Saccharomyces cerevisiae S288C: one gene and its partner. Changing the gene in region 1 together with any one later gene gives a genetic interaction. Each region holds a gene or a part of one and is shown in the gene's direction. Other genes may lie near its edges. The genes, in order: YFR057W and SDH2.

Region 1 (4,863 bases):
ACAAGAGCTGGTCTGGAGAAAATGGTAGAAGGGATGAAAGTTTTGCAATTGGGATTTTCATGGGGTGGCTAGAAAAGCTTCAACATGGCCTTACAAAGGTTTTGCACTAAGAATACAAGTGGGTCTCGAAGAATTTGAAGATTTAAAAAGGGATTTTGAGTTAGGCTTTGAACGTCTCGCAGAAGAAATTTCTTTGAATCCTTTACAAATCTGATTTTTTTTCCTTTTTTTTTTGGATTTCCAAGCAATGTTGTTTGAGAAATGAATGAAATTTTTGACTATAGCTTGTCTTAGGCAGGCTGGAGTAGACAACCATCTAGTAGCCAATGTTTGCCCAGTTAATATATGGTTCAATTTTCTAGCTGTATCATATTATGGATGATGAAGCAGATAATCTTTCTTTTTTCTGTATGTCTGATTGTAATAAAGAGGCTTACCATATTGTGAATGCATTTCAATGACACTGCATAATGAAGTCATTGTATTTAGAAAAGTAATAATTTTGTATTGTATAAAGATAGAAAAAACGTATATCGTACTTATTCAGCGGAAATGATTCTGCTTTATCTACTTGCGTTCCTGAATATAATATTTGTGAACCAGGCTTGAGCTTGACACTACAGATTTTTTAGTTCGATTTCATTCAGTAGAGAAAGGCATATCAATATGACATGTGATCTCACTCCGCGGCTAAATGCTAGCAATAAAAAGAATACCGTAATAGAGATGCAGCAAAATAACCACTGGTGTTTAAGAAATAATATGATTACGTCAGTAACCGAAGAGCCCGTACGCACTCTGCTACCATAGACTATGTATATTGTTACCTATTGTAAATAGCTATGGTTACTCTAAGTACGTATGGTGCTATGCATCTCGGTGAACGGATGCAATTATGAAAGTGTAGGTCAGAACATCATCGGTGGTTTTGTCGTGTAAAAAAGGTTATAAGGAAAATTATACTCACATGATTTTATTCATCATCGTCTGTGTATCGCTTCAATTAACATTTTGAAAAAGAGATTACTTTATATGACGTTATGTATATCTTTCAACTTAAATAACCTTAGCTGGCAAAATAAAGAATAAGATAAGGGCCAAGAAGAACGCTAATACTCGTTTTTTTTCAACTACAAAACAACTAGTTGGATAATTTTGAAACAACAAAGTAGAAGTTGTACATATATTTTTGCGCATATGGCTCTGAAATATCGTATTTTTCAAAAGCCCGATACAAAGCCGTCAGCAATACCCATAGTTAAAGATTCCTTGATAACCTATAGCTTCCGTAGACAACAACACAAATTTACCACCTACTTTTAACTCACCCATGTTTTTCAGTTTATCAATGAATCTAATAAACGTGGCTTACGTAACAGCTCCGCATGGACTTGAATTTACTCCTAGCGAGCCTAGTGTTTTAATTGCTTGCATACAATCTTCATCGGAAACTAAACAGGAAATAGATGGCCCCTTTCTGTAGTAGAAGAAATGCTGTTGCTGAAATCCTCGGACAGTTCAACTCATCCATGATTGTTCTAGAGGTTCCTAGATCAGATGAAGCCTTTTGTAACACCAATGACTTATTGACAGTGTAAGCGGTATCTGGTTCAACCGAGAAGACTTTCGTATTCGATTTATGCGACCTGTAATATGTTATCACTCCTTGAGCAAAAGAATCAGCCCCACAAGGGACAAATATTACCGCAGGATCGAATGGTATTTCGCTACACAAGGTAGTGTAACCATAAGAAATCCAGTTAGGAATTTCATCATAACCTATGAATGAAAAATCTTGAATAAGTTGATTTTTTTGTCGGATCGCTACTACAAAACTCTAAAGAACTTTTTATTGCATAATCATAGTTACCTTTAATTTTGATAACTTCTGCTCCCTTTTCTGATCTGATGTTCTCACGCTCTGTTCTAGAACATTCCATGGAGTAAATATTGTAGACTTTAAGCCTAGGATTTTTGCCATGTATGCAACTGCTCTACCATCATTACCATCTGTAACAGCCGCTAGCATCAAAGACGGGTGTTGGAATTTGACAATTTGCTTCAATGTATCCAAGGAAGTTTTAGGTAATGGCAGGCTAAATCTTCCAATCAAACAGCAAAATACACCTCAAGACGCCCCAAGAATTTTGAATGAAGGCGAGCTGAATCCCGAACTTTGTTCTTTAATGTACAATTTAATACCAAAATGATTATCCAACTTGATTAGCTTCGATGACTCATACAGATCCATACCAATATCAACTTCACGGATAACTTTTTCAACTCTTTTAAATTCTTCAACATCATTTTTCGATCAAACTGCGTCAGGTTTTACATATAGATCAAGCGTTGTCGGTTTATACTACGATGTCATTTACGATCTGCTGCCAACAGAAGAAACATTACGCAGTACCTTGGAAAAATCTAGGCAATTTATAGACATGAATCTCCTATCGTTCTTAAAACAATGTATTTCCTGTCGTTGTCTCGATTCTCTTTTTTGCTATTCTGAAGGACAGGTCCATTTATCATCCAGAATTCTAATCCCGAATTTAAGATATCGTAACAGTAACAACATCATATCCAAGCACCGAAGATTCATTGCTCTATATTCCTTGTCTTCGAATAAGGAAGATACCGCGAAGAGACTCTTTAGGAGTCGGGCTTGACTCCCTGCCAAAGCAGCTATTCCTGTATAACACGCGATATTTTATCTCCTTGTCGTCATGTGAAAGTCAAACAGCGCACGTTTGTTTGATGAAGCAGCAACTCTCCTCTTACTGCTTTTGCAGAATTTTGTGAGAAGCTCTCTTCTCTTGGAACTAACCTAGCCATATGGCTTTCTGCCCTCTTTCCGTCAACATTACAAGATAAAGATATCGGTATAATTTAAAGATTCGACCTTTACGCCCTACATGGCTAAAATTACAATGCCAAAATTATCATGAATTCACTTTGTTGACCCGGAATTACAATACAATGCTTCTAAAAAGAGATTTCTTTTAAATTTGTCAAGGGAAGTCATTTATCTCCACACAAACGCACACCGAAATATATATATATATTTAAATTTCCTCATTCTTTGTTGACAGGTTGATTTGTAACTAGAAATCAAATAATCGGGATGCGCAATACCCTGTAGTAGTCGATTCAAAAACTGATTAAAAAATCACTGACATTTAGCATAAGCGACTGAAAAAATGTACTGATTTCTTCTCGAGTCATATATACTATTACATGAGTTCGAGTATGGTGTTGTTTTCTTTAGAATGTCTTATCAAGACCGACAATTCATACAGGTCGAGATATGTAAAGTCTACATGCCGAGCTAGGATGAGAAAAAAAGTATACAAATTGCAGGCAAATAAACACACCAAAAGATACTAAAAAAATCTTTTAAAGTTTTGGTTAGTTATTGGGGATCATCATGCATTTAACGACAACAGAGAAAAGAAAAACAAAAAAAAACAATACAATGTAAAAAGCAGTACTATGTAGGAATAAATCCTGCCTCAATTGCAGAAAAAAAAAGGTATGCGTAATCTAAATAAGATACTATGTATTGATATTTCATATCACTAACTTCTCTCAGATCAAATATGATTTAAAGGAGCGATTTCTGGACTGTACAAAAAAAAGAAATAGACTACTTACATCCTATGAAGGTCAGAGAATAAAACGCTTTTCCGTTAAAAAGATCCACCATATGGAAGAAAAATACGAGAGTTAAAATGCTATTTAAAAGTGCTAAAGGAATCCCCAGAGACCTCAGCTGAGATAAGTAATATCGTTGATGAATTACAAGGGAACAATGAGCAGAGGGAAAATGGACAGATCCTTTCGCATTCCTACTTGTTTGATGAGTTCAAATGTGAAATAGTAGCAACAAAAGGTCATAAATCTTCAATGATATTTGGACCTACTAGTGTCTATAGTAAGTGCTCGGCCAAGTCAAGCGGTATCATTAAAGACACCGCCAAGCTTCCAATATCACGAGTAAGGATCAAAGTTATGTTAGAGATAACTGTGAGTTTTTTATTTTTTGATCGATTTCCAAGATCATTCCTCAATCATAATCTATATGATTCAATATGTCCTTTCTTTGCGTGGCAATATACCTCATATTATCTTTCTATTTACAGGCAGTCCTTTCTATTTCATTTCTTACAAAAGGATTTTAGCAACGACTTCGTCTCAGAAGAGTTAATATATGCACTAGTTGCACTAGGCGCAAAAAATTCCTTTGACAATAGCCTTTCAAAGCATACATATGAATATTACAACCACTCAAAGAGAAATTTACTGGAAGATTCGACAAATAAAAATTCAGCTTTTTCAAGTGCAAGCGTAACAAAGCCATAATGCCTCCTATATTTAGCCTTTTTTGATATAACTGTCGGAGAGTTAACAAGCGGCTGGACTACTTTCTGGAATAGCGTTCGGAATGTGTTTTACTTAAGGATTCGAACGTGATCCTAACGAGTGGATGCACAGTTCAGAGTTATCTAACAATATTCGTGAAGGATATGTCAAAATTGGATACGCTTATGTTTATGATATATCATTTATATTAATATATAGTATGCTCACATTTTCTTATTGCTGAATAGTTCTTTTTTACGTTTAGCTGAGTTTAACGGTGATTATTAGGTGGATTTTATATTAGTCTACATAAAAATAAGTGGTGGATATCTACATAAAATTGTCATAACGCGTAAACTAAAAATTATTTTTATGATCATTGAGGATCTATAATCAACTATAGACATTAATGTATGGATAATCATGAGGATTATAGGTAAATGGCAAGGGTAAAAACCAGTGAGGCCATTTCCGTGTGTAGTGATCCGAACTCAGTTACTA
Region 2 (7,469 bases), on another chromosome or scaffold:
TATTGAAAATTTACTTCCAGCAGATATTAACTTCTCTATTTTTGACAAAAGAGAGGAGAAGAGAACAGATTTCTTGAAGACTGGAGAAAGTATGGAAGTTCATCATATTTCTTTGGATAGTTTCCTGCTAATGTCTGTTCAACCATTACAAGATGAGGCTTCTGCTTCAAAGCCCTCCATCGTTAATACACCACATAAAAGTCCTTTAAACCCAGAAGATTCGTTGTCTTTGACCCTATCTGGAGGTCAGAATTTGTTGTTGAAACTAGATTATAAAAACATCGATGGTACAAGGTCCAAAGTTATTCGGATATACTCCCCTTATATTATTATGAACTCTACCGATAGAGAACTCTACATTCAAAGTAGTCTCTTAAATATTGCACAATCCAAGATTTTGCTTGAAAACGAAAAAAGATATACTATTCCAAAAATGTTTTCATTTGATAAAGAAGATGATAAAAGTAACAGAGCTCGTATTAGGTTCAAGGAATCAGAGTGGAGTTCCAAATTATCATTTGACGCTATTGGCCAATCATTTGATGCATCTGTTCGCATAAAAAATAAGGAACAAGAATCAAATTTAGGCATCAACATTAGCGAAGGTAAAGGGAAGTACTTGCTAAGTAAAGTTATTGAGATTGCACCTAGGTATATTATAAGCAATACTTTAGATATCCCTATTGAAGTTTGCGAGACAGGGTCTATGGATGTCCAGCAAATAGAATCGAACATCACTAAGCCTTTATACAGGATGAGAAACATCGTCGACAAGCAATTAGTGCTGAAATTCTTAGGCGGAGACTCCAATTGGTCACAACCATTCTTTATCAAAAATGTCGGTGTAACATATTTGAAAGTTTTGAAAAATTCACGCCATAAGCTTTTAAAGATTGAAATTCTTTTGGACAAAGCAACAATATTCATAAGAATCAAGGACGGTGGTGACAGATGGCCATTTTCCATAAGAAATTTCAGCGACCATGACTTTATATTTTACCAAAGAGATCCTCGTAAAGTTAGTGATCCATACAAGGATGACCAGTCTAACGAGTCCTCAAGCCGTAGTTTCAAACCTATCTTTTACAGGATTCCCTCGAAAAGTATTATGCCATACGCATGGGATTTTCCTACAGCTAAGGAGAAATATCTGGTGTTAGAATCAGGTACACGTACAAGGGAAGTTCGGTTGGCTGAGATTGGCGAATTGCCACCGTTACGCCTGGATAAAAGGTCAAAGGATAAACCAGCCCCCATTGTTGGATTACATGTTGTTGCTGACGACGATATGCAGGCCTTAGTTATTGTTAACTATAAGGCCAATGTTGGGTTATACAAATTGAAAACTGCCTCTGCAACTACCACGTCTTCAGTTTCAGTAAATAGTTCAGTGACTGATGGCTTTGTGCAAAAGGATGAGGATGAGAAGGTTAATACACAGATAGTTGTTTCGTTCAAAGGAGTTGGTATCTCATTAATCAATGGTCGTTTACAGGAACTTCTATATATTAACATGAGAGGGATCGAATTAAGATACAATGAATCTAAAGCATACCAGACTTTCAGTTGGAAAATGAAATGGATGCAAATAGATAATCAATTATTTTCAGGAAACTACTCAAATATTCTATATCCAACAGAAATCCCCTACACAGAAAAGGAAATTGAAAATCATCCAGTGATATCAGGTTCTATTTCTAAAGTCAACGATTCCTTACAGGCTGTCCCATACTTTAAACATGTTACGTTATTAATCCAGGAATTTTCCATACAATTAGATGAAGACATGCTGTATGCTATGATGGACTTCATAAAATTCCCAGGATCCCCATGGATCATGGATTCAAGAGATTATAAGTACGATGAAGAAATCCAGTTACCTGATGTTTCTGAATTAAAAACGGCGGGTGATATATATTTCGAGATCTTCCATATTCAGCCCACCGTCTTACATCTGTCCTTTATACGCTCCGATGAAATTAGTCCAGGATTGGCTGAAGAGACCGAGGAGTCATTTTCGTCATCATTGTACTATGTCCATATGTTTGCTATGACATTAGGTAATATAAATGAGGCGCCGGTTAAAGTTAATTCTTTGTTCATGGATAATGTAAGAGTCCCATTGCCCATTCTGATGGACCATATTGAGAGACACTATACGACCCAGTTCGTGTATCAGATCCACAAAATTTTAGGATCAGCAGATTGTTTTGGTAATCCTGTAGGTCTTTTCAACACAATTAGTTCCGGTGTCTGGGACTTATTCTATGAACCATATCAAGGTTACATGATGAATGATAGGCCTCAAGAAATTGGTATACATCTGGCTAAAGGTGGACTAAGTTTTGCAAAGAAAACAGTCTTTGGCCTCTCTGATAGTATGTCCAAGTTTACGGGGTCGATGGCCAAGGGCCTGTCAGTTACACAAGATCTGGAATTCCAAAGGGTCAGGAGATTACAACAAAGAATAAATAAAAACAACAGGAATGCCTTGGCAAACTCAGCGCAATCCTTTGCCAGCACACTGGGAAGCGGGTTGAGCGGAATTGCACTGGACCCATACAAGGCCATGCAAAAGGAAGGCGCCGCTGGTTTCCTCAAAGGCCTTGGTAAAGGTATCGTTGGGCTGCCAACTAAGACAGCCATTGGATTCTTAGATCTTACAAGTAACTTAAGTCAAGGCGTGAAAAGTACCACCACTGTGCTTGACATGCAAAAGGGTTGCAGAGTGCGTCTACCAAGGTACGTGGACCATGATCAAATCATCAAGCCTTATGATCTACGTGAGGCCCAAGGACAATACTGGCTCAAGACCGTGAATGGAGGAGTATTTATGAATGATGAATACCTGTCGCACGTTATATTGCCAGGCAAAGAACTAGCAGTAATTGTGTCCATGCAGCACATTGCTGAGGTGCAAATGGCCACCCAAGAGCTTATGTGGAGCACAGGATATCCTTCCATCCAGGGAATTACATTGGAAAGATCCGGTCTTCAAATTAAACTCAAGTCTCAATCCGAATACTTCATTCCCATCAGCGATCCTGAAGAACGTCGGTCCTTGTACAGGAACATCGCCATTGCTGTTAGAGAATACAATAAGTACTGTGAAGCTATCCTATGATCACATATGAAAGTATATACCCGCTTTTGTACACTATGTAGCTATAATTCAATCGTATTATTGTAGCTCCGCACGACCATGCCTTAGAAATATCCGCAGCGCGCAAAAGGCGGCCTCGCATTGGCCCAATTAGCTCCGGTGTAAAAAGGGCAAACTTATATAAGGGGATTAATGACTTTCTATGAGAATGCCAAAAAATGTTAGGCTAAAGGAAGGGATTGAAAGGAATATAGTTGAGCTATACTTTCTTGAAATACTGGAGTATACATATTTATAGGGATGTTGAACGTGCTATTGAGAAGGAAGGCCTTTTGTTTGGTGACGAAGAAGGGTATGGCTACTGCCACAACAGCTGCAGCTACGCATACCCCCAGATTGAAAACTTTTAAAGTTTACAGATGGAATCCAGACGAGCCAAGTGCTAAACCTCATTTACAGTCATATCAAGTGGATCTGAATGACTGTGGGCCCATGGTACTTGATGCGCTGTTAAAGATCAAAGACGAACAGGATTCTACCCTAACTTTTAGAAGATCATGTAGAGAAGGTATCTGCGGTTCATGTGCCATGAACATTGGCGGTAGAAACACGCTAGCTTGTATATGTAAGATCGACCAGAACGAATCCAAACAACTCAAGATCTATCCATTACCCCACATGTTTATTGTCAAAGATTTGGTACCTGATTTAACTAACTTCTACCAACAATACAAATCTATCCAACCTTACTTACAGAGATCATCGTTTCCAAAGGATGGAACGGAAGTGCTACAAAGTATTGAAGATCGTAAGAAACTGGATGGTCTTTACGAATGTATTCTGTGTGCATGCTGCTCTACTTCATGTCCATCGTACTGGTGGAACCAAGAACAGTATTTGGGCCCTGCCGTGCTAATGCAAGCCTACCGTTGGCTAATTGACTCTAGAGACCAAGCTACAAAGACAAGAAAGGCCATGCTAAACAACTCCATGTCATTGTACAGATGTCACACCATCATGAACTGTACTAGAACTTGTCCAAAGGGCTTGAATCCTGGTTTGGCTATTGCTGAAATTAAGAAATCTTTGGCATTTGCCTAGACTATCAGAAAAACAGCTAGCCCCGAAGAACTCAGAAGCCTCTCAAATGATTTTGGCACTAATAAAAGCACCAACTATTATTATTATTATTTTCAAGGACGAAACTCACCATTCTCACACATTCCTATACGTTAGGCGTTTATGTTTACTCTCTATGACTATTATTTATTTATCATTGGCAATGCTATGACCCGGTCTGTATATATGTCCATCATAGGCGACAAGGTGTTCTAGTATCTTCAGGTATTGTTGTTTTTAAGGATGAATTTATATCTTTGTTTTTGAAGGGCCTTTTGGCTTCTCTCCCCTATTTATTCAATTTATAACTATTTATTATATTAATACACGCGTAATGCTTAAGGTTTATTATTAAAGGACTGTTTTTATATTTACATGCCTGTAGTTAATTATATTTTCGTTGTGAAATTTCTGTTAAGAAACTCTATATGAAAGGTAACGAACTTAAAATTGAAAAGCAATGAGAAGAGAACACCATGAAAAAAAAAAAAAAAGGGCTAAAAAACAGAATTATCAGACTTGATGATTCCTTACCAGGAGTGGCATAGCCAACTGCAATCGTTGTATGACTCCCAGATTTTCCATAACTGGGCCCTTTGCCAAGATGTCCATTTGAATGATGAAAAGGATGGACTTCTTTTGCGTTTAATACCTACTCGACAACTGCAGAAAAATACTGAGCGTATAGAAAATAAATTACTAAATCATATAGAATTATATCTTACATATTCAAAAGTATATAACGAGCCCTTACTACTTTTGCGAATATGGGAGGAGAAAAGCATAGATGGTATTCCAATGACCAAATTGATGCTCCCAACTGATATCGAATCGCTGCTTGATGTTCAAGGCAAATTCCAACTAGGTTTGGATACTATCATTAACCTGGAAGGTAGCGTTTGGTATTCTTTCCATCCATGCGATACATCATGTATAGTAGGTGACCAGGCTGAGTTCATGTCAACTTACTTAAGACGATGGGTCAGTATTTTCATATTTAGTTGGTTAGGTTATGAAGATTCATAGCTTAACCTAGGAAAGCTTTTTAAAACACTATGCAATCATCTATGTAAATATATATATATATATATATTATACCGGCGGTAGTAAGCAGTATTTTTTTCTATCAGTCTATATTATTTGTTTCTTTTTCTTGTCTGTTTTCTCATGTTACCTTCTTAGCATTACCATAATGCGAATCTTCTGATGATGTGTCGGATAACCCAATAGAATCAGTCGTCGTCGCACCTAGCGAAGCAGTTTCAATGGAATCTTCTTCTTCAAGAATTGTTGGTATACCACCAAACGTTCTTTTGCCGCGCTGAACAGATTTAAATTGCACTTTCTTTTCTCCTGCTTCATTTTCGTTGTCTGAAATAGATGACTTGGTCTTTGTCTTTTGAAGAGCCATTCTTTCTCCAAATTCCTCATCATCATCGTTATTGTATGAGAAGTCACTCAGGTCCGATGTTCTTCTTGCTCTATTTCTCTTCTTCCAACCAGGCCTTCTAAACCAGGCTCTCATAATCATTTCCTTATAAACTGGTAAAGACCAGTTGACTGGAGATTCATGACCCTGATAAATACAGACATCGTAAACCAACCCCCCCATTAACGCACCAATAAATGGGCCTACCATGGGAACCCAAAAGAAATGATGATGATGCACCCAAAGCATTTTATGATCAAATCCAACTGCATATAGTGCAAGACGTGGGCCCAGATCACGAGCCAAATTCATTGCTGTACCTGTCTGATAAGCCATGGAAGCATTGATAATGAAAATCAAAATAAACATCATCAATGGGAAAACATCAGAGGACAAACACGTATAAGGATCGGTCAGCGCAAATGTTCCTGCTTGTAACATAGCTCCACATAAAAATTCGGAAAAAAATTGCCGTCCTGAACTTAGATAAGGCTTTGGAAAAACGCAAAACATTCCCGCAACACTTTCATTCATCCACCAATCGCTATATGCCTCTTGTAACACCCTTTTGTACCAAATAAACAAGATCAAAGCGCCTGTGAAGGCACCGATCAATTGTCCAGCAAAGTAATAAGGAACTTTCTTCAGGGGAAAACCTCTATACACCAAATTGGCTAATGTAATAGACGGATTCAAATGAGCACCTGAGATGGCACTACCACCAGCGCAGAAATAGCCCATCACCACGGCAGCAGCCCAGCCCAATGCCACATCATCAAAGGTACCGCCCGCAACGGATGAAACCAAGGATGTTAAACTCTTCATAGCGTCTATCGTTTCTGCAGAAGACCCGGTAACGTTAAGGTTATCCAAAGCCACGTTGAAATTGTCCTGCTGTATTTTCCCAGCAACATTGACCTGACAAACAACAGCACTACCGAAAATAATCATAACCATTGTTCCCATAAACTCGGCTAAAAATTCCTTCAAATAAGTGTTTTTGACGGAAGACCATTTATTAATTGGATGGTATGTGGAGGGCAAGACTGTAGGTGTTTGAGGGTTCTGGTATAATGTCTTTGGCTTCACCATAATGGGGACGTTACGTGGTGATTCATTGCTTTCCATATTAGTTTGGGCACCAGTAGTCCTGCCATTCGTGGCGCCTGTATTGGCACTGTGCCCAGCATTACTCGTAGCCCTCGACCTACTTCTCCTTCTCGATAAATGTGACTCCGGGATGGTATGCGCATCGTCTGCATTTTTGTAAAAATCTTCAATGTTAAGCACGTTGGCCGACACTGTGGTCTGCCCTCTAGGCCTGAATGCTCTATTACTGCTTGCACTCGGCGGACCGTTATCTTTATGGTTTATATCTTGTGTGTTAATGTATGCGCTAGGAATAACCTCTTGAATCGGGAAAGCAGTCCCACTTTCTACAGAATATTGTGGAACATACGTGGGAGTAGGCCGCGCACTTTGCGGAGAAGGTCTATAATCTTGCATTTCATAATCATAGTCGTCATCATTTCCCCCATCGTTGCCGTTGTTGTTGTTGTTACTGTTATTATTATTATTATTATTGTTATTATTGTTGTTAGTACCACCAGAGTGATGATGTGAAGGTTGTGATGAAGAGCGTCCTTCGTCGGATGACTGCTTATTAGATTGTTTCCTAGAACTATCATGTGTATGAACAGATTCACTGGACAGAAAGTCGTTTAGAGCTTTTTGAGGATTACTCATGTCTTTTAATGCATTAGAATGTACCCTCGAGCGTACTTGGTAAAATAATAAAGAAGAACAACCGACGCTTAT

Evidence for each region.
Region 2: mutations in YFR057W (region 1) and SDH2 together harm fitness more than expected from each alone (negative genetic interaction), as found in Saccharomyces cerevisiae (2 studies listed by BioGRID).

Annotation. Positions count from the first base shown.
Region 1 is NC_001138.5:265,155-270,017, forward strand, and holds YFR057W (uncharacterized protein), read left to right. Parts: upstream 1-3,906; coding exon 3,907-4,362; downstream 4,363-4,863. Other genes in the region: cysteine-S-conjugate beta-lyase IRC7, read left to right, coding at 1-72.
Region 2 is NC_001144.5:49,866-57,334, reverse strand, and holds SDH2 (succinate dehydrogenase iron-sulfur protein subunit SDH2), read left to right. Parts: upstream 1-3,403; coding exon 3,404-4,204; downstream 4,205-7,469. Other genes in the region: membrane morphogenesis protein VPS13, read left to right, coding at 1-3,124; ATG10 (E2-like conjugating enzyme), read left to right, coding at 4,745-5,248; FPS1 (Fps1p), read right to left, coding at 5,388-7,397. UniProt on the Saccharomyces cerevisiae protein: Subunit of succinate dehydrogenase (SDH) that is involved in complex II of the mitochondrial electron transport chain and is responsible for transferring electrons from succinate to ubiquinone (coenzyme Q). SDH1 and SDH2 form the catalytic dimer.